4 linked regions of the Drosophila melanogaster genome follow. Changing the gene in region 2 together with the main gene of any one other region gives a genetic interaction. Each region holds a gene or a part of one and is shown on either strand. Other genes may lie near its edges.

The links.
Region 1: of Arf1 (region 2) and garz, changing one enhances a phenotype caused by changing the other (phenotypic enhancement), as found in Drosophila melanogaster (one study listed by BioGRID).
Region 3: of Arf1 (region 2) and siz, changing one suppresses a phenotype caused by changing the other (phenotypic suppression), as found in Drosophila melanogaster (one study listed by BioGRID).
Region 4: of Arf1 (region 2) and Pld, changing one suppresses a phenotype caused by changing the other (phenotypic suppression), as found in Drosophila melanogaster (one study listed by BioGRID).

Annotation. Positions count from the first base shown.
Region 1 is NT_033778.4:12,324,665-12,329,401, forward strand, and holds the start of garz (gartenzwerg), read left to right. Parts: upstream 1-1,695; 5' UTR 1,696-2,009; coding exon 2,010-2,111; intron 2,112-2,174; coding exon 2,175-2,373; intron 2,374-2,428; coding exon 2,429-3,414; intron 3,415-3,475; coding exon 3,476-4,456; intron 4,457-4,526; coding exon 4,527-4,735; intron 4,736-4,737. Other genes in the region: CG8841 (uncharacterized protein), read right to left, coding at 1-1,236.
Region 2 is NT_037436.4:22,867,959-22,874,233, reverse strand, and holds Arf1 (ADP ribosylation factor 1), read left to right. Parts: upstream 1-2,002; 5' UTR 2,003-2,177; exon of another isoform or gene 2,178-2,421; intron 2,422-2,509; exon of another isoform or gene 2,510-2,914; intron 2,915-3,146; exon of another isoform or gene 3,147-3,387; intron 3,388-3,939; exon of another isoform or gene 3,940-4,019; intron 4,020-4,083; 5' UTR 4,084-4,244; coding exon 4,245-4,392; intron 4,393-4,459; coding exon 4,460-4,569; intron 4,570-4,611; exon of another isoform or gene 4,612-4,689; intron 4,690-4,762; coding exon 4,763-4,888; intron 4,889-4,987; coding exon 4,988-5,152; 3' UTR 5,153-5,726; downstream 5,727-6,275. Other genes in the region: CG11109 (uncharacterized protein), read right to left, coding at 546-1,799, 1,888-1,953; EMC4 (ER membrane protein complex subunit 4), read left to right, coding at 6,082-6,137, 6,198-6,275. UniProt on the Drosophila melanogaster protein: Small GTPase involved in protein trafficking between different compartments. Modulates vesicle budding and uncoating within the Golgi complex. In its GTP-bound form, triggers the recruitment of coatomer proteins to the Golgi membrane.
Region 3 is NT_037436.4:21,032,986-21,037,576, forward strand, and holds the start of siz (schizo), read left to right. Parts: upstream 1-1,549; 5' UTR 1,550-1,933; coding exon 1,934-2,316; intron 2,317-4,591. Other genes in the region: Polr3E (RNA polymerase III subunit E), read left to right, coding at 1-66, 131-487; CG10581 (uncharacterized protein), read right to left, coding at 575-1,098, 1,162-1,207.
Region 4 is NT_033778.4:6,243,658-6,248,533, forward strand, and holds the start of Pld (phospholipase D), read left to right. Parts: upstream 1-1,854; 5' UTR 1,855-1,920; intron 1,921-2,606; 5' UTR 2,607-2,776; coding exon 2,777-2,927; intron 2,928-4,876.

The sequences.
Region 1 (4,737 bases), on a different chromosome or scaffold from region 2:
GAGCAACAGTATGAATACTCCAATATGCATCAAGCCCACTCGAGATTGATCCGCTCGGGAGTAGTTTAGGTGATACAGAATGGGAATCAGGATGTCCAGAACATCGGAGCTCTTTAGCACAAAATACAGAAACTTTTTGTTGTAGTCGCATATTTTCCAAAACAAAATAAGCAGCTCCTGGTGGCAATGAAGTCGCTTTGTGGAATTGGGCAAATAGTTCTGGACCAGTGGGTTGTTCAGCAGCCTGGTTATGCCCTTGAGCACAAAGTGAAAGTCCTCGTCGCGGTGAACCCTCGAAAGATAGTTAATGAACAAGTTGTCGCCGCAATTGCCCTCGTCGTAGGACGCCTGTCCGGGTTGTGTGAGTTGCTGCTGCACCACCATATCGTGATCCAAGGTGACAATGAGCAGTTGAAGGCACGCTTCCACCAGGGGCTCTGTGGTGTCTGCAAACAGCAGGTGATTGTAGGGCACGCCGAAGCCCACCGGATCGTAGGAGCACACGGTGTTCAGAAACGAGGTGAACAGCGGCAGGGCATGGCGATTGTCGGCCGAGGTGAAATATGCTATCCACTTGTTGGGCTCCTCGGACTGCTGCGGCGATCGGTACATGGGCTCCGAGAAGCAGGTGAGTAATAGCTTCAGCAACTCCGTGCGCCTGCGCTCCATGTGGGCGTTGTGGGGCGGTGACTGGGCGAAACCCACGCCCGCTTCCCAAATGTACTCGCAGCTATCGATGTTCGCCAACTCCTCGGCCTTCTCGGGGCCCGCACGCCGCGTGGCCGTAACCGTGAAGTCGGGACAGAAAAGAAGGTCGCAGGTGGCATTGAGCAGTGACTGAGCCAACGGCATGGTCTTGTCCTGCGATGGCAGGCTGCTCCAGAAGAAGTCGCGCCACTTTTCGTCCTCGAAAATGTACGGCAGACACCGGACGAGCAGCCGCACGCAGTTCAAAACGCACTGCTGCTCCGCCTGCGTGCGACAACTGCTGTCTACCGCCTGGGCAAGCTTTTCCACCGCCTTGTAGCATAAGGTGGCCAGGTTGGCTGGATTCTCGTTCCGTATCTGGCGAATCTCGCTCGAGGTGACCAGCGCGAACACATCCTCCAGCGTCGTCTGGTGGCCCTGCCAGAACTGCTCCCAGAACTGCTCGTCGCTGGGGTCGATCTTCTGGTTCTTCTGCGTCAGCTGCACAATCGCCTTGCGAAAGTTCAACTTGGAGTCCGTGTTTCCCATATTGTTCGGCCTGTGGGCTGCTTTGGTATCGCTGAGTCCTGTAAATCCACCTGCCCCGTGCTCGATCGCCTCAGTGCAAGTGTGCGCAGTAGTCTGGAACAGGAATGCTTTGCATTTAATGCGATTCTTTTTCAAAAATCGAACGATTCCAATTAGAAATTCGCCTACGCACCAAATGCCAGTGTAACTTAGTGGTGGGTGTAACGCTCACGACTGAAGATGCGTGCGTGACTGATTATGCTCACCTGTTTTGGCCCTCATATTCAAATATCAATTTGATTAAATCAATTTGATCGACAGCTTGGCAACATATTTTATTTTAAAAACAAGGTTATATTTTTTTTATATACGCTTGCAGCTGTATTTCAATTTAATCTATTGAAATTTCCGCATCGAGTTGGCATCTACAGCTGTGCCAGTGCTGCGAAGCGACGAACTGCCGCGCCGGTGTTGGAAGACGCTTGTGCAAAATATTCGGACTGCACACAAGAACATAAACGACACGTAAACGTCACCAAAAATTAGCAGCTTACCAGTTCGATTAGTTAGGATTAGTGAGAGATGCCCAACTAGGCAGCACGCCCAGATTCGTCCAGGCAGCGTGAGTGTGCGAGTGGGCAAGTGGCGAGTGCCAAAACATATGCGAAGGTCGTCGGGAAGGGAGGAGGAGCTGCCCTGCCCCACGAAAACTGCAATTTTCAGCGCTAGCCCTGGAACTGGAAGCCAACTAGCTGCAGTCGTAGAGACACCGCAACGGAGGACACGCGGACACCATGGCGCTTCCAGGCAACGGCATCTACGTGGTGCGGGGCGAAATGGCCACCCTGATGACGGCGATGCGACGTGGAACGCGTTGGAATGCCACCGCCTACGTGGTAAATAGTGCCCCTAATGCTCACTGCGAATAGAAAGTATATGGCCCTTTTGCACATCCACAGGACGACGAGAATGACTCGCTGCTGAAGCTGTTCATTGACCTCAAGCATGAGCTAAATCGGATCGAGGACCTGCGTCAGATCGAGCCTCAGGTCTTCCTGGCTCCGTTTCTTGAGGTGATTCGCACGGCGGACGCCACGGGTCCGTTGACTAGTCTAGCCTTGGCCTCGGTTAACAAATTATTGTCTTACGGGCTAATAGGTATTATGATTTAGTGCTTACCCTCTGCATTTGCTCATTCTGTACCTATCCACAGATCCCACGTCTCCAAATCTGGCTGACATTGTGGAGCGCATTGCCGATGCTGTGACACATGCCCGCTTTATGGGCACCGATCAGTCCTCGGATGGTGTCACCTTTATGCGAGTGATTGAGGTGCTGCACACGCTTATCCGCAGTCCCGAAGGAGCCGCCGTCAGCAATGTGTCCATGTGCGAGGTGATGCTCAGCTGCTTCAAGATCTCCTTCGAGCCGAGGCTGAGTGAACTGCTTCGTCGCTCGGCGGAAAAATCGCTCAAGGACATGGTGCTGCTCTTCTTCATGCGCCTTCCCCAGTTCGCCGAAGAGCGAAGTGACACCATGCTCCAGAAGCGATTTACTATCGGCGATGCTGCCAGCGGAGCTACCCAAGAAAAACTAAAGCGTAAGACGGTTGCCCAAGCCCAGACAGCACCCAGGAAATCGTCAGCAGTGGAGGAACCGCCTCAAACACCGCAGTCTGCCAACCTGACGGTGCCAGGGCACTTGAAGGCACCCATATTGGCCACCACACCCGCCAGTCCAGCGGGAAACATATTGGACATGCAGGGCAAGATTACGCAGACACCAACAACAACGGCGAGCACGGGGGAAGATGAAACCACTGTCCCGGAGACTCCTGTTATTCAAGTGGAGTCGACTGAATCGGAGCCCTTGCTGGACGGCGAAACGGGTGAAGCAACCAGCACCCTGGCCGAGGCAAATAGTAGCGAGTACATCAACTCGGTGGGCGTCCGTTTTACACAGCAGTCCACCGATCACGATGTAACATCACTATCCCCTTATGGCCTGCCCTTCATCCAGGAGTTGTTCCGATTCCTCATAATCCTCTGCAATCCTCTGGATAAGCAGAACTCGGATAGCATGATGCACACGGGTCTTAGTCTACTTACTGTAGCTTTTGAAGTCGCAGCCGATAATATTGGAAAGTATGAGGGCTTGCTGGAGCTGGTTAAGGACGACTTATGCAGAAACTTAATATCGGTAAGGGACTCTTAATTGCTTCGTTAGTTATTTCTGACCTAACTCTTTCCTTTCCCTACAGCTTCTCAGCTCAGAGCGGCTTAGCATCTTTGCCGCCGATTTGCAGCTCTGTTTTTTGCTTTTCGAGTCTCTCCGCGGACATCTCAAGTTTCAGCTGGAAGCCTACCTTAGAAAATTGAGCGAGATTATTGCTAGCGATAATCCCAAGACGCCCTACGAAATGCGAGAACTCGCTCTGGACAATCTACTGCAGTTGTGGCGCATTCCCGGCTTCGTCACGGAATTGTATATCAACTACGATTGTGACTTGTACTGCACGGATATGTTTGAAAGTTTGACAAACCTACTGAGCAAGTATACGCTGTCAGCAACGAATGCAGTTTATAGCACCCACATTATCTCAATGGACACCCTGTTAAGTGTGATAGACAGTATCGAGCGAAATTGTGCCGCGAGCAAGAATAGCAGCAACAACAGAGAGTCCTTGCCAGAAGCTGCCCCAGCAACAGGTGGCAGCCGCCATTCTCGCCACAACAGCGGATTGGAGGGAATCGTAATTGATTCTGGCAATAGTGTAGCTGCAGAAGAGAAAGTGGAGAACATCGCAAGCTTTATAAATGCGAGCTCACATCGACTACGACTACAATCTGGCGGAGAGGGAGTGGGAATAACCAGTGAACAGCTGGCCAAGGTCAAACAGAAGAAGCGTCTGCTATCCCAAGGCACAGAGCGATTTAATCAGCGTCCAGAGAAAGGAATCCAGTATCTGCAAGAACACGGCATCCTAAATGCCGAGCTTGATCCCATGCAGGTGGCCCTGTTCCTTCGAGAAAATCCCGGGCTCGATAAAAAAATGATTGGCGAATATATCTCGAAAAAGAAAAACGTCGACTCTAAGATTCTAATTAATTTTGTGGACTCGTTTGATTTCACTGGTCTTCGAGTGGATCAAGCATTGCGTCTTTATCTGGAGACCTTCAGATTGCCCGGAGAGGCTCCATTGATCTTTTTGGTGCTGGAACACTTTTCTGATCATTGGCATGTGAGTATACACATCTACTAAAATACTTGCAGTCTCTGATATTAATCATGTATGTATCCCACCAATATAGAAACAAAACCAAGATCCGTTTGCCAACGTAGACGCTGCTTTTCGCTTGGCCTATGCCATCATCATGCTGAACATGGATCAGCACAACTCGAACGCGAAGCGTTTAAATGTTCCAATGACGCTCGAGGACTTCACTAAGAATTTGCGTGGTCTAAACGGTGGCGAAGATTTCGATCAAGAAATGCTGGCTCAAGTCTTTAATGCAATCAAGT
Region 2 (6,275 bases):
TCCGCCAGCGTTAAAAGCCTTCATCGATGTTCTCATCATATTTAGTAATTTCCTCAAGCACAAACAAAACATGCATTTATCGGGGTCCCATCAATGATTGGTAATATTTTTGACTTCCTTTTAACTTACAACTCGTAAAATCATTAAGTAAATCTTTGTCGTAGAAAGTTTTAAAGTTCCCGAAATGCATAATTTTGCTTTTAACAAGAATCGTTAAATAACAATGACGGACTTAGATTTAAGTAAAATTACATTAGTTATGAATTGTAAATTATTTAAGTTCTTTTTAACTCGAAAACAAAAAGATAACATTATGTATCTCCATTAAGATAGCACAAGCAGCTATGGGAGAGCAAAGCCTAAATGTTATCAGACTGCATTTTTCAAATGCTTTTCTAAGCGTAGGGTTGAAATTTTCTTGATCAAATACCACTAGCGTAGGTCTCACTTATATCACTCATAAGCCGGCTTACTTTTGCAAATCAAAACGAATGTTTAAATTATCGAGCCCAATAAACAAAAAATTTCAGTGAAGTTGAATTTATTTATATTTTCTGAAACTTCGCAATAAAAAAGCCCACAGTGTCCGCATTTGCTCCGCTTGGACCGAAGCGCTGCAACAGACGAGATTTACATGCCTCGAAACCGGGAAGCGGAAGTCCGGGACCGCCCCACCGGGGAGTGGCATCTGTTAGCCGCAGCTCGACAAATTTTCTTAGTGCCCAGGCCACAAGACATTCGCACTCATCCTCGGTGACGGTGCACGTGCTATATACAAGGATGCCGCCAGGACGAACGAGCTGCACTGCCTGTTCAAATAGCCGGCGCTGAATATGGGGATATGAGGACAAGACCTTAACCTGTTTAATGCTGCAGGACAACTGTGGCCGGTTGCCCAGCCCACTGCAGGGTGCATCGAGCAAGATTCGGTCAAAGCTTTCACATGGAAACGGAGGCCCAGTGAATTCTCCCACGGGTGCAGATGGAGCGTCCGCTGCCACTGCCTCGGTGGAGTTAAAAACATGCGCCGTTATGCTTTTGTAGTGTCCCAATTTGGGCAGCATGCTGCGGACGCGACTGGCCGAATTGTCTAGGGCCACCACAGATCCCCGATCGCCCATCAACTCGGCTATGTGGCTTGTTTTGTTACCCGGAGCGGCACACATGTCCAGTATGCGCTCGCCGGGCTGCGGATCCAGGACACGGACGCAAACAATAGAAGGCAGGTTTTGCAACAGGCCGTCTTCGCTGCTTAGATCCCCCAGCGTGGGCACTCCGCTGACGTTGGACTGCATTTCCACGGCCACTCCAGAGGCGGGCTTCTCCGCGTTGTTGAACAGCTGATACCGCTGCATTAACACCTTGCCTGTACCCAGGAAAACCTTATTTGGGCTTTCGTACCGCTTGACCGTCCCGCGCTTGCATTTTCCATCCAGATCTGCGTAGACATTGACGAGTTCCTCCCGCTCAGTGTTTGACTCCATAGCTAAAACACCGGGGGCGTATATGTGGGCGCCTCGCAGTAGTGCAGCTCCGCAGTTAGTGTCAACCACTACCTCCTTGAGCTCGGAGTCGGCCACAGCTTTGGTGAGCTGTGAGTCCAGCGGATCAATGCACAACATCTCGGGTAGGTTTGGCAAGCAGTAAATCCTTGGAGATTTTACACCGTAGCGAATGGCGAGTTTTTCTTCTAACTTTTTCCGAAAGTCGTCAACGGAACACCTAAGAGTGTTCACCCTGTAAGTGGTGACTTTGGGAGTAAGGCACAGCCATTCCAACAGCGGAGCAAGTGCAGCAGACTTGACAAAACCAGGAATTAACAGTTAATAAAATTTGCAAGCCAGTTTTTGTTGTAAATACGTATTTGTGCACATTGAAAGTACATACATTCACTTTAAGGATATCGGCTTCCAGCAACGGGTTCACCAAAAATGGTGTTTTTGGGTAAAACATATTAACATTTAACTTAGTTCAAATCACCTGGATAGTGAACTTTATCGAGTGAGCATTGTGCGACAATGATGAATCGATTAATCCAAATCGTTGGCAACTCTAGCCGAGGTGGCGGAGAAGAGACGTGGCAGCATTTCCCGAGTTTTCACCACGGGACTACACAACATCGGCATCCCGCTCTAGCTCATGCGCTGCGCCCATCTCTATCGGCAACGTTTATGTTGGTGAGTTTGCAGTTTTTTCAACAGCAAGTGTATTCTCGGTCAAGTTTTATTTTGCTCTGTGATTTTAGACATTTCCAAGCAGAAGTTTTTAAAATTTCCGCTCCTAGCCGTGTGCATTTGATTCAATTAGTTGGTGCGTATGCGTTTTCAGTCGAAAAAGGGGGTGGTATGTCAAGGCAGAGATACTTTTCTTGATTTTAAGAAGTTCCGCAGTAATGTAGATGTTCGTGTGAGTGTTTAGTGTGGGCTATCCACGAACACTCGCGCAACGTACGCGGCTGTGGTGAATAGTGGAAGTATTAGTATTGGAAGCCGCACGAATTAATCGTCGGTGCTTTGTTTATAGCATTATCGTAACAGGAGACAAGGACAAGCTCTCCTTTAATTACAAAAGTGATAGCTAAATTATATAATTGGGAACATTTTACAATCTCTGTTCGGCAGACAATAGTGACTTGTGCTCATCGACTATCGGTAGCGGATGCTATCGATACATTTCTCTCCATTATCTTTCTATTCGCAATTCGGTGTGTGGTGTGTTTGGCAGCATAGAAAATTCAATCAAAGAAAAGTCCACGAAAAAAGGCAGAATAATCGGTAAATGGACGTGTAAAGTGTCACTGAGCTAAAAGGATCTCAGTTAAAAGAAGTCCAAGTAACTTCGGACCGGTCTCTGTATTCTTGTAAAAACAAGGGACGGCGGCAGCCGCATTTCACCAACCCATAAGAAAAACAGCGTACGTCACTCACACAGACGCAGGCAACCACGTATAAAGTTCAAAGTTGTCTGATCCCGATCCGAAAGTGGGCTTAGTTGCGAAATGTCTGAACATGGGGCGTGGGCTGGCGAAGCGTTCATCTTCGAGCAGTGACGCCCTCCGCCTGGAGCTTCTATTTAAACGCATTAAAGGCAGCAAAGGCAGGGCGGCTCAACGCAGTTGGCAACCCTGGCGCCTGCGGGTGTATGCGTGAGTGTGCGGTGGTGGGCTGCCTCGCTTCCCTCAGCGCTAAATTAAAAGCTGCTACGTGTAGTTTTCGATTTCGGCTGCTTCCAAGCCAACTATCGTCAGCTGGCATCAGCATCTTCTCAGTAACGTGGAGCACCTATCTTTGCGCACTACCGGTCCGGAGAAGAAGTCTCTGGGGTGTTAGTTCCCTGTAACAAACTTAGGTTTTTGGATATCCGATTGCTGTCAAACGAAAGGTTTCCGTATGTTTCGCTGGCAACCTTTTTTCTTTTTGTGTTCGTGCGAAACGGGCTTGCTCATTGCGTTCCTCCATTTTAACATGAATTGCTTAGCCATCGGTTGCAGCCTGCTCGGTTGCAGGGCTCAAAAGGCGGCAGCGGTGACTCACTGTAGAGTTTGGGAGCTTCCCCTCCGCCCAGCAAGTTCGCCGAAAACTGCAAGTTACCTGGCCTTATCATTCACGCACTTCTCAGCCCGCACGTTTCTTGCGTACTCTGTGTAAAGTGGGTGGAGGACGTTGGAAGGGAGGCGCTGAGCGCCGACAGCCGTCATGGTTCTATACTAAAAATCGATATCTTATCAGCAGCCGCTAGCGGGGCAAACACTAAAAGCAAGCGACTCGTGTTTCATACATCCTCCATTTCGCGTTGTATTTAAGTGTGGAATTAATTACATAAACAAATTTTCTGTTTTTCTCATGCTGACGCATTGAAGACGTCCTTATTACAATAAACAAAAACGAATTTCGTTTCTTTTTCCGGTTTTTCCGCTCTTCCGGTTTTTGTATGACTCAGAGTGGGTAAGCGCCATTCAACACGTAAGCGCGATCATAAGTGAAACAAACACCAGAGGAGCTTCGGCGCATCCGTCCTTTGTGATAGCTCTTCCTACCACGAAAAATTCTCGCCTACAACTGTCTATTTTTGGACTCTTCACAGATTCTCCCACTCCATGCACACAAGTGTGCAGTTTGCATATTCTGATCGGTATAGCAACTCGGATTTGAACTTGTCATAATTCCAGCCAGCAGACAGCGAGCAGGCCAACCAGAGATCCAACTTCCTACGACTACCGAGCATCCGAAAGACAAACAGCAGCCATGGGAAACGTATTCGCGAACTTATTCAAAGGCCTATTCGGCAAAAAGGAAATGAGGATATTGATGGTCGGTTTGGATGCCGCTGGTAAAACCACAATTCTGTACAAACTCAAATTAGGCGAAATTGTTACAACGATACCTACCATTGGTAAGTATCTTATTAGCACCTTTAATGTATCTTGTCCAAATCTAATATCTAATGGTTGTCCCCCTAGGTTTCAATGTGGAGACTGTAGAATACAAGAATATTAGCTTTACAGTGTGGGATGTGGGTGGCCAAGACAAAATTCGTCCCCTGTGGAGGCACTACTTCCAGAATACACAAGTAAGTGTGATTTCAGCTTTTCCACAGATTCCAGAAAATTCTATATGATGTTAACAGCTTGTAATGATTATGCATTGTGATTATTCAAGTTTATTTTGTTTCAAGACGGGACTGACTATATTATCTTAGAGATCTATCTCCTACGATTCAAGCCAGGACAATTGGAATAAAGTTTTCATTTGAATCGTTACAGGGTCTTATCTTCGTCGTGGACAGCAATGACCGAGAGCGTATCGGTGAGGCGAGAGAGGAGTTGATGCGCATGCTGGCAGAGGACGAGCTGAGGGATGCAGTCTTACTAATCTTCGCAAACAAACAGGTAGGTCCAAGCAAAGGTTGTCGTTATCAGTAGCCAGTTGCTCGGTCCTTATATTGTCATACTAATATTGCACCTCGCTCTTTTCTGGGATCATTTTAGGATCTGCCAAATGCAATGAACGCGGCCGAAATCACCGACAAGCTCGGCTTGCACTCACTCAGAAACCGCAACTGGTACATCCAGGCGACGTGTGCAACTAGCGGTGATGGGCTGTACGAGGGACTCGACTGGCTGTCCAACCAATTGAAGAACGCTAATCGCTAATTAAACACTAAAATTAAAGCAACAATATGAATACAACTAACTCTGATTTCAAGCGAGCCGAAGCAGTTAACCAGCAACCAGAACCATAGAAAGAGCGGCTGAAGGACATCCAACATCCAGCGGTAAACGGTGGAAATCGACATCAGAAGGAATTTTCACAAAACAGCAGCAGCGGCACCAACACCAACAACAAGAGCAGCAGATCTTCGCATAACTTAAAGGGCTCCGCATGTCCGTATTTCCAAACAAGAAACTGAAATTGTTTATTGAATTGCAAAAACATAACCTTTCAAGCAGCATATAAAGAACGCTATAATATAATTTAAATTCGTATACATAATTATTGGATGTTTAAAAGCAAATCGAGTAAAAGAAAAGCCCAACCAATCACACAAGAAAGGAAACTATAGTATATGGTATAAAAATGTCTTTTTTAAGTTATTTTTGTCCTCTCCCTACCCCTCATCAAAATATATATTTCTTTTTAATTTTATAATATTAAAGTAATATTAATGAGAAAAAACTGTAATTGTAATTGCTCTTTAAAAATACAACAAATACCATTTTAATTTTTAACCCTTCTGTTTCTTGTTGTCGCTTGGTCACGCAAAATCCATTAAAAATCACGCATATATATAAGACCATATTAAAAAGGAAAGTACTACTTAAAAGGTAATTTGAAATAAAATTTAAATATTAATGAAAACTACTGCGCTGTTCGATTTTTGCACATGCGTTTCAAAAAGTCCGCGCAAAATCGTAACTGCCTATCGATACCCTGGTGCCATACACATCAGTTGCCTATCGAATTGTCTACACTACAATAATTTCGGAATTTAACGTTGAACAACACTCAGCGACCAATTGTCAGAAAAAATCGTCATTTTGTTTTATAAATTGGCAAAAGATTAAATAAAAGAAAGCACAGCATGTCCGCCAAGCAAAACCCAAAAAAGTTAAAGTGGGCGCTGGACTTTAACGGGAGGTAAGGATTGCTAGCCTGCGCGGTGACTCAAGTTCTTACCACTTTTGCTTTTTCCTGCAGCAAAAATGCTGATATTCCTTCGCCGCTGGGCTACAATCCATCTGCTTTGGTGAACCAGAGTGAAGTGGTGCGCGACCA
Region 3 (4,591 bases), 1.8 Mb from region 2:
GAGAAGGTGCTTTCCCATGCGAACGGTGTGTCCGCAGAGCAGATGATTCGCGCCAGAGATTATATAGTGAGTTATAGTATGGGTGTAGCGATCACTTATCTTGTACTAATCTCCTCAAATCCATCCGCAGCTCTTTCGTTTCTCCCGCACGCCCTACCTGTTCCGAGCTCAGGTAATGGCCGCCACCCAGTTACCTCCTGCGGAAACACTTGACGTTTTGAAGACTGTGGCCCGGGTGAATAACACAAAACGGTGGGAGCTGCTACTGCCACCCGACAAGGAGTTCGAGCAAAAGTACCCGGAACTGGTCAGCCGACAGGAGTACCACTGGACCGCTTCCGAGCAGCACTACAATGAAATGGACTGGGCTAGGGAAACCAAACGTGTTCGGAAACGTTCGACGAGGAAGAGCGAATCCCAGTCACTGACTTCAGCCATGCCGCCGCCCGCAATGAATCACTCAACAACTGGCTCCGTGGATGCGTAGCATCGGATGATGATCTCCCAGCGGCGGAGAATCGGCAGCACGATTATACATCTAGGCACTATTAAAAAGACCAACAATTTTACTTTGTTAAAGAAGTGCTTTTGTAATCTCTTCTGTAATCTCTCCAGCCAAGGCGTTCCTATTGAATTTGGTCACCTGGTAAATCTTGGATCCTGCTGACTTTCTCAGCTGCTCCACCAAAGCCAATGTTGATTTCTCGGGTATGGTGACCAATAGGGCCCGCTTTTTCTTCAGGAGATCAGCCATGGCCGACTCAAATCGCTTGCTAAGCAGCTCCATTTTGCCCACTTCATCCACGACCAGGAGATCCGGCTCTGGTTGGGAATCCTGTGTGCCAAGTACTGGCAGAGCGAGACTGTCGAAGTCCTGCACAAACACCGAATACTCTCCCACTTTGGGTCGTCGCAGCTGGTCCCCGGGATTCTTGCGAGATAGGATTGCTCGTTTTCCGGCTAACGTGACCACGTCGAAGCCGATTCTTTGGCTGGTGCCCTCACCTCGCATTTCCTCTGTGTAGAATCCTTGAAGAATGCGTCCTCTATCCTGCAGAGCCGAGCATATTTTGTGGACCAGTGTAGTTTTACCCACTCCTGAAAATCATGATTACATACATAATAAACAAATAGCAAATATTTTCCCAGCTAAATTTGCACCTGGTGGCCCAGTTAGTATAATGGTTATATTTTTTTGGTTCTTCATGTCGGCTTATTATTACAATACCAATTTTATAGAATATTTTTGTGGTGAACTAGATCAACCAGGAATGGATCATTGGCAGTTCCAAAATAAATCTTAATTAATGCACACATATTTAGATTTAATGAGTTTTAAATTTATCAAAGAAAGAAAATGCTTATGTATAATAATGAGCATAAACTTAAGATTGTTTATGCCCTTCTTAAATAAGATGAAAACAACAATATATTTTAAAATAAAACGGTCGTCTTAAAATGCCACATTTGATGCGGTATATTTTTTGAATACGATAGCGTATTTTGAGTTGCATGCTCTATGGTCACACTGCGGTGCCCCCCAGCACGTCCACACTGTTTCCAAACGTCGAACGACGAGTGCGTCGTGTTTTTCGTCGCGCGTGAATTGAAAATCCGTAATTCCGAGAATATTCGTAATCCCCCTCCGATCCGCACCAACTGTTGCTCGCGATTCGAAGTGCTGGCTCTGAAGTATAATATACGAAGGTCATTCAATTACAATACGAGTGAAGTTTCAACTCGCAGCAAGCTGCATTTTCAGTTCTTATTGTGAGATTCAAAGTGGTTCTGCCTGTTTCGCTGTTTTATCACCCTCTCCACCACCTTCCCTCATTCGCGCGAGTGCGTGTGCGTGGCGGGGCTATAATGTTTTGGCCACAAAAGCACATCGATTAGGAGTGCAGCCGATCCCCGCTAAGGTTATAAACAAAACATGTCCGAGGCCGATCTGAAGAATCTATCCCAGAACTCGGATGGCGACCAGGAATTGCTGCTGCATCAGACCACGCAGTCCCTGCTGATGGCCAGCTCCATAATGTTTGTGGGAAACCAAGGAGGGCCGGGCGGTTCCGCTGGGGGTGTCGCCCCACCTGGACCCGTTTCCCTGCCCCTGCCCCTCTCCATCAACATGCCCCATCACCATGTGCATGCGATGCCCTACAATGTGGACGAGCTGCTCCGGGAGAACAATGCCCTGCACGCCAAGATCAAGGAGTTGAGTCTGGAACGCGATCGCCTGCTCTGTGAAGTGTCCAATCTGCGACTGGAGCTGGACATGTCGGAGCTCAAGCGACTGCCCGTCGATCTCGATGATAAGTGAGTGCCCACCAATGTTTACTATCTAGTAATATATTCAAATATCTGTTAAATAAGGGTGAATTAATGGCATATCATATTTTCCTATTGGACATCCCGCTTAAATGGAAACTTCCAATAGGAAGAGATGCACTTTAAAATTGCGGTTGCAAAATAATTTTCATGGCATTTGGGGGCCAGAAAAAATTTGCAATGTTCAGCAATTTGATTTCAACATATTTAAAAAGAATTTTGTCGATATTGTTCTAGATGTGTCAACGAGCATTTTACATATTACAAAGAACAATTTCTCACTAAATACTCTGTAAAATGCGGTTGTTTATTTTGTGATCTCATTAAGAGCCAAAATATTCCATTAAGTAATTATAATCAGTCAGGAGATAGTATTCATCTTTAAATTGATTATATTTTGAAACAATATATATTTAAAATCTTTTCTGCTATACTACCTACTTTTAAAGCTCTTCTTTAATGCTTCTTATCAGAGCGGCATTTCGCTTTTAAGTTTCAGGTCAAGGCCTTTGATATATCTGTATATATTGTAGTTTTATTTATACCATAATTTAATCTGCACATAGGCCAGTTTTTTATTTCCCTTTTCTGATTAGAAATTAACATTTTAGCTGATAAGAAAAAGAGCTGGAATACATAATTCATTCAGTGAAGATCCTTACTTTATATTTTGTGGTTGTGTGATCTTAAAACAAAAACTTGAAGCCAAAGTACCATTTCTTCTTCAGCACTCAAACAAAACCACAAAAATCATTGATTTTTTTTTTGGATCGCCATTTTCGGCTGCATTTCCGTGACCCCCAACTCCAATGTTTCCTTGCCCCCGGGTTGAGTCAACTTCTCGTTGAGTCACATTCATTCGTCCCCTTGTCCTTGCCACCTTGGCAGCTGCAGGCTGACAAGTCGGAGTGCGACTTCTGGTTTTTGCAACCCCTTTTTGCACGCCGGTCTACCTGTGGGCTAATCGACACAGTCGTGGTCGCAAAATGAAGTGCACCGTGGCGATAGGTATTTCCGTACATAAAAAACTCATGCTTATCTGTAACAGAACAATAGATAATGTTGTATTTATTTCGTTGCCAAATTGAATGAGTCAGTTGTGCTGTGATAGAACTACAGTTGCTCTCCGCTTATCGATCGACCAGAATTCTCTATTTGTTTAGTTCTGCTGATAACTAATGTGTAGTGCTACTTCGGGCGATAAGAGCCGTCTCAGGGAAATTCAATGTTAAGACCGAGTTTCGATCACTTATTTGGGGTCTTTCCAGGGGAGATTAACCTCACAAATGCATGGGCAAACAAGAAAAGAAATATTATAAACCATTCGCCTGGCATTTTGCCATTGACAGTCGAATAAAGTTGGGAGTATCTTAATATTCGTACCTGACTTTGCTTTGCATGCGGTCATGCCCCACCGCAGACAATCTTTTAAATACAGATATTTTCGTATATATGATGTATACATATACAAAGTGGGCGCAAATAAAGCGCAGTTATCTTTTAACCGTTTTCTTTATTTTCGGGGCTTCTTGGCCTCTAAGGTCTGCTAGTAGTAGAATCGTGGGCTCTTCCAATTATTCGCTTAGCGTTTTCTGTTTATTTTTTATGTCTCGGTTTTTGCAGCTCACCTTCGCCAAAACTTTGAAACACAAAACACCAGAAACTTTTAAACTCGCATTCGTCGAATGTATAGATACTCTTTTAGAATTGTTATTTATTGTCACGTTTTTATATGAATAATCACTTCAGATATCTTATATATAAATTAATCTTTCAGATCAGATTATTTTGAATAATGATAATTTAGTTGATAGAGCATAAATGAAATTGGGAAAAATGCAGGATTTGCTTATCAAACGTTCCCTGCATATAAGGTACATTTCCTCATTTGTACCACCATTTTTTACGTTTTAATTAGCGAATCTAAATGTAATGTAAAAATGCTTACCACGGCTTAGATCCACTTTCAGATTAGAGTTGTACAAGATAAGCTGCACGCACCTAGTTGGCATATCTTTCATTATGGAAAAGAGTATGTCACGATGAGACATTAAACTCAAGATCAGAGATGTTGTTGAAATTGTGCGGGTAGCTTTCTGTCTTATGAGTACGGTTCCGCTGCTCCATGAATGTTGTTGTTTCTCTCTGTACACTGGGAGAACTTACGTGACTCACAATTAAAGCATTTTATTTATTACCATCATTAAAAAATAAACAAAAACAAAATGATTATACACATTTTCGTTTGATTTATACATATATT
Region 4 (4,876 bases), on a different chromosome or scaffold from region 2:
GTAAAATCTAATAGGCAACGCATAGACCTAAAGAATTAGAATGTGGTTTCCCACAACGATCAAAAAAAAAAATATTAAAACATTTTCAAAAGGTGTGTCAGTTTTGGGCGGTTGTGGGCGTGCCTCTAGAATCGTTTTATCTAATCTCAACTCTCTAGCTATAATGGTTCCTGAGATGGTGGTGTTCATACGGACAGACTGACATGGCCAGATCAACTCGGCTATTGGTTCTGATCAAGAATATATATACTTTATAATAATAAATAAATAATATACTTTATATGGTCGAAAACGTTTTGTCTGTTACATACTTTTTAACGAATCTAGTATACCCTTTTACTCTACGAGTAACGGGTACAACAAAAATGCTATATTCGACTTATGTTCTGACAGTCAGATACCCGTTACTCAGTTAGTGGAAATGGTGAATTGATTGAGAAAATATTTAAACAAATTTGAAAGTATGGGCGTGGCAAAAAGTTTTTTGGTAAATCGATAAAAATTTACAAGTGTAATAAAAATATAAAAAAAAATTTGAAAACATTTTTTAAAAGTGCAAGGATGTGCAAGTTTTAGGCGGCTATAGGCATTAGGGGGGCTTGGCAACTTTCTATCTGTTATATTTTGGAAGTGACAAACAGGTTCTTTTTTCGTCTTGGGCAACTATTATAATATATTATATTATATACTAAATAACAAGTTTACAAAGAATTCACTACACTAGTAATAAAAGCTATCACTACTTCAAAGTTAGCAGACCCAATACGAAATTCAATGACCAAATAGAAGTCAGCACCAAAACTTAATTACTTAAAAATTTCTTTGAGTGACAGAAGGAAAACTTATATTAGGACAGTATATTTCTTAGATTAGATTTATGGAAGATAACAATGTACTAATTTCTGAATTGTTTAAATAATATCGAACGAGTCAACTACCTTATCCAAACCGCTACCGGAGCACTATCCCTTCGAAAGCTTAGTCTCATTTCTCAACAGCTAACTATAATTTGAAAATATTTAGAATAAAGTTATTGTTCGATAGGCTCATGTTTTTTTTGGGATGAAAGGGGATTTTTATTAAATGTCCGAAAATAATTTTTCGTCACTAAAGTTTGGTATGGTATTTGGCATGATGCGATCGTCAAATGTTTTTACCGAGTCACTAACTTGGACATAGTCTCTAAAACATACTTTTGATTTTATTTTTACTTAGTTCCGAACTAGGGGTCAATAATTTAAGTTATTGAAATTCAGTTGCCCCGCGTGGGACAATCTAATCGAATGCTAATTGTAATTCGGTTATTTATCCTGCGCACTTCATTGGGGTCGTACAAATAATGAGTTCTGATTACAGCGATTGTGCCCAAGTCTAGTGTTGCCGATAAGATAGCCGCAATAGATACTAAGCAGAGCTACATGCACACCCAAAGTGCCGTTGTGACTCATCGACTCCTCGACCATTGTTGCGGGTCCGACAATAGGCCTGTACTCGATCAGCGATTTTTAAAAGGTGTGTGAACCGCGCAGAAAGCTTTGGAAAGCTTGTAGAGTTTGTGCCAATGCCTCGGCAGAGAACTTGTTCTTATGGATTGTGGCTGACCTTGCCGTAGAAGCCCATTATGTTTTTATTTGCATAATACCTTAGAACAGTCGAAGGGTTTTCGGGCTATCGCATTTCAATATCTTGGAGATTATGAAAAGCTTTGCCAGCTGTTTTGAAGTTCGCAGCTGTGCTCTGGAAAACTCCCTCTCCATTACCAACTTGCGGCATTGACGCTCTCGCCGTAACCGTTACCCGTTAACCGTTTTGAGCTCGGCGACCTAAGCTTTTGGCTGCGTCGCGAGGTTTAGTTAATATTATTAACCGGAGTGACGGCCAAGTTGTCGCAACGTTTCTCGTGGATCGCAGATCGTGGCGGTAAGGCGAGCTTTTTGCCGGGGGCTCAAAGTGTGAGTGTGAGGTGTCTTCAGTTTGGTTTTTTTCACATAGCGTGGCATTACTCTCTTTGACGAATTCAATGCGACGTCGCGCTTTTTTCGGTTCTGCAACTTCCGTTAGTCGGTGGCTCGAAAAGTAAACAAAGTGCTGCATATCGCATGCAAACGTGACAATCTTTCAGACGCACTCCAACTTGATAACTTGATAAGCATCTGTGAGATGCAAAGATACAAGTTATAAAGCACCATCTCGCGAAGCCATGTAGCCGAGTGAAAAAAGTAAAATATGCGAAAGCAGAAAAACAAAAAATTTGTGCGTGTGTTAGTTGGCCATTGTGCAAACCTTTAATGAGCTGGAAGCGCCAAAAGCCAAATACCAACGAATATAAAGAGCACGCGAAACATTCAGTTATATTTGCAAAACTTGGTTTTGTGTTCACGCAAAGATAACGATATGCCATGATAAAAATTTAATTAATTATTTTTCAATGCAAGGGATATAAAAAAAGAAAAGTATACACGCTGTGACTGAATGAAACTTGGAAGGCAAAATTAATTTAAATGATTATTTTCGTGGCGCAAAGTATCCTTCCTTCCTCTACTTACCTCCACGGCAATAAGTCCATTATACACAAACGCGGTATTTATAATTTGTGGTTTAAACAGCCTCCGCAGGCCGCAGAACGGACATTTTTCACGTAGGCGAACTGTCGATGCGACTGAGAAATGCAAAAAACTGGAGCCGACAACAAAAGCTTCCTATCTATAAAGCCAAAAACCGATTGCCAAAAATAAAATAGAGCCCATTAAATAGCCCGCGTAAAGCGCACACAACAATGATGGCCACGTGCTTGGATACCAAAACCAGCAAGAACCATGAGGCCCAGCAACTGCAACTGCCCCGGCAGGCGTCATCGAACGCCAACTTGCCACATTTGCAGGTCCGACGTCATCGCCGCAGCATCTCACAGCTGATGGCCAGCATGGGTAATTTTTAGATCTGAAGATAAAGATATTTTCATTTGCATAGATTACTTGGTTCTCGTAGAGCGGCAATGAAATATGTGCGTCATCGTGAGATGAGATAAGAGTGATCATGTTTGCTAAGATATTTCAACATTTAGAACTGGTTGGCGGTAGGTGTTATGGTATGCGAAAGTGAAAAATCATTCTGCACCAAGTTTTCATTGTTTCAATTTGGGGCGATTTATAACAATGAGTGTGCAGTCGAACTTAAATAAGTGTAGTAGTGTAGGGAACCAAGAACTGATAACGATTTCATTGCCTAAATAATAAATTAGCCGAACAATACCCGTTTCCTTTGGATTATATAAGCCTTTACCCACTTATTGCTTCCATCAAATTGCGTGTTGGGCTCGGCCTAACGGTGCAATTAGTAAATGAATCATAATCAATTTTAAAATGCATGACGCGCTGCAAGTAACGATACATGCCGATATTGTTAAAAATATATCGAGCCTGATTTACATTTGTACTCATGCTCGATCATTGCAACAGGAAGTTTCGATTTCTTTGCAATTGTGTGTAGGTCAGGTGAAGCAAGCGATCGGTGGGTTTAATAACCTTTTCAGTAGACCGGCCACTGACAAAACCCGCTAAACAAAGGCGATTCAAAATGAACGCCCTCGGTCTGAGGACATTTTGATAACGGGCATTAAATGGAAAGCATTAACATTCCTGCAAAAAAAAATACAATGCATATAACAGAATTTTTCAGTTAAATCAAAAATGTTTAAGTAACATTTAATTCGGCAATTTAGAACTAGTTTTTTTTCACACCAATGCCCTATCAATAGGAATGGGATACCACAGCTTTATTCGCCACCATAAAAACGTATTATTGTGGTTGGAGTTTAGTTTTTTCAACGAAAAATTGTATATTCTTGAAACAAAATGGGGTTACTTCTATTCGTCTTATCTGTTAGTGATAAAAGTGTCAAGTTTTTTTTAAGTTAATTTGCTTGCCAAAACCAATGAGCCAAAACTAATGAGTTCGGCAAATCGCTTTGAAAGTGAAAAGGTGTTAAGAAATTATGGTTCTTTTATTGAGTACGGTGTTACACTTATTATACCGCCTTAAATTTCTGAAAACGGCGGCCGATGATTGAATAATAGGTCCAAGGTTTAATTATATCCACAATTCTCTTTAACGATTCGTCTAATCAAATACATTTTTGATGGACTTAAATTTTTTTATTTTTTCACTTTTATCACAAATCATGGAACTCGAGCATTAAAGAAGTTTTTGTTTTTGCCTCCAGAAGTTTTTGTTTGGTGACTTGAAGCTGATAGCAAAAAGAGCTTCGTGATAAGGCATATGCCAACACTCGTTATTTTCACTACCCATATAATAACGAATTCAATACCAAGAATTTATGCCTGCCAGTTGAACTTGCCCATAAGCTAGCCTGTGTATGTAAAAGTGTGGTAATAAAACTTTGATGGCACTTATTATGATAGGGTATCATGGAAGTGCCCCAATGTCATTGATCATTGACGGCCATTATCAAATTCTTTGCACTCGGCGTTCCAGTTTATTTTAATTATCACAAGTGATAAGGAGCAATCGTAAGTTATGACTCGTTCAATTGTTTGATAAATTAAACCAACAACTTCTGAAACAGTATCTTAACAAAAATTTTCAGGTGTCGCTACCTTTTTTTTTTAAAAAACCATTTTCGATTTTTGAATTTTAAATATTTCTATACGCGGTACTCAGCGGACAGAAATAAAGTTACTCTGTGAATAGGCGAATAGGACAGGACACCTGTTATTGTCTGCTAATCAAAGCACTTGACTAAGTACTGATTTATTCTGTTTATTACTATCGTCGATAACTGAACCTGTGCACTTTTGCAAAGCCGTGCCGCATCCATAAACTCACTTAACCGTCATTGGTTGGCCTACCTACTGTG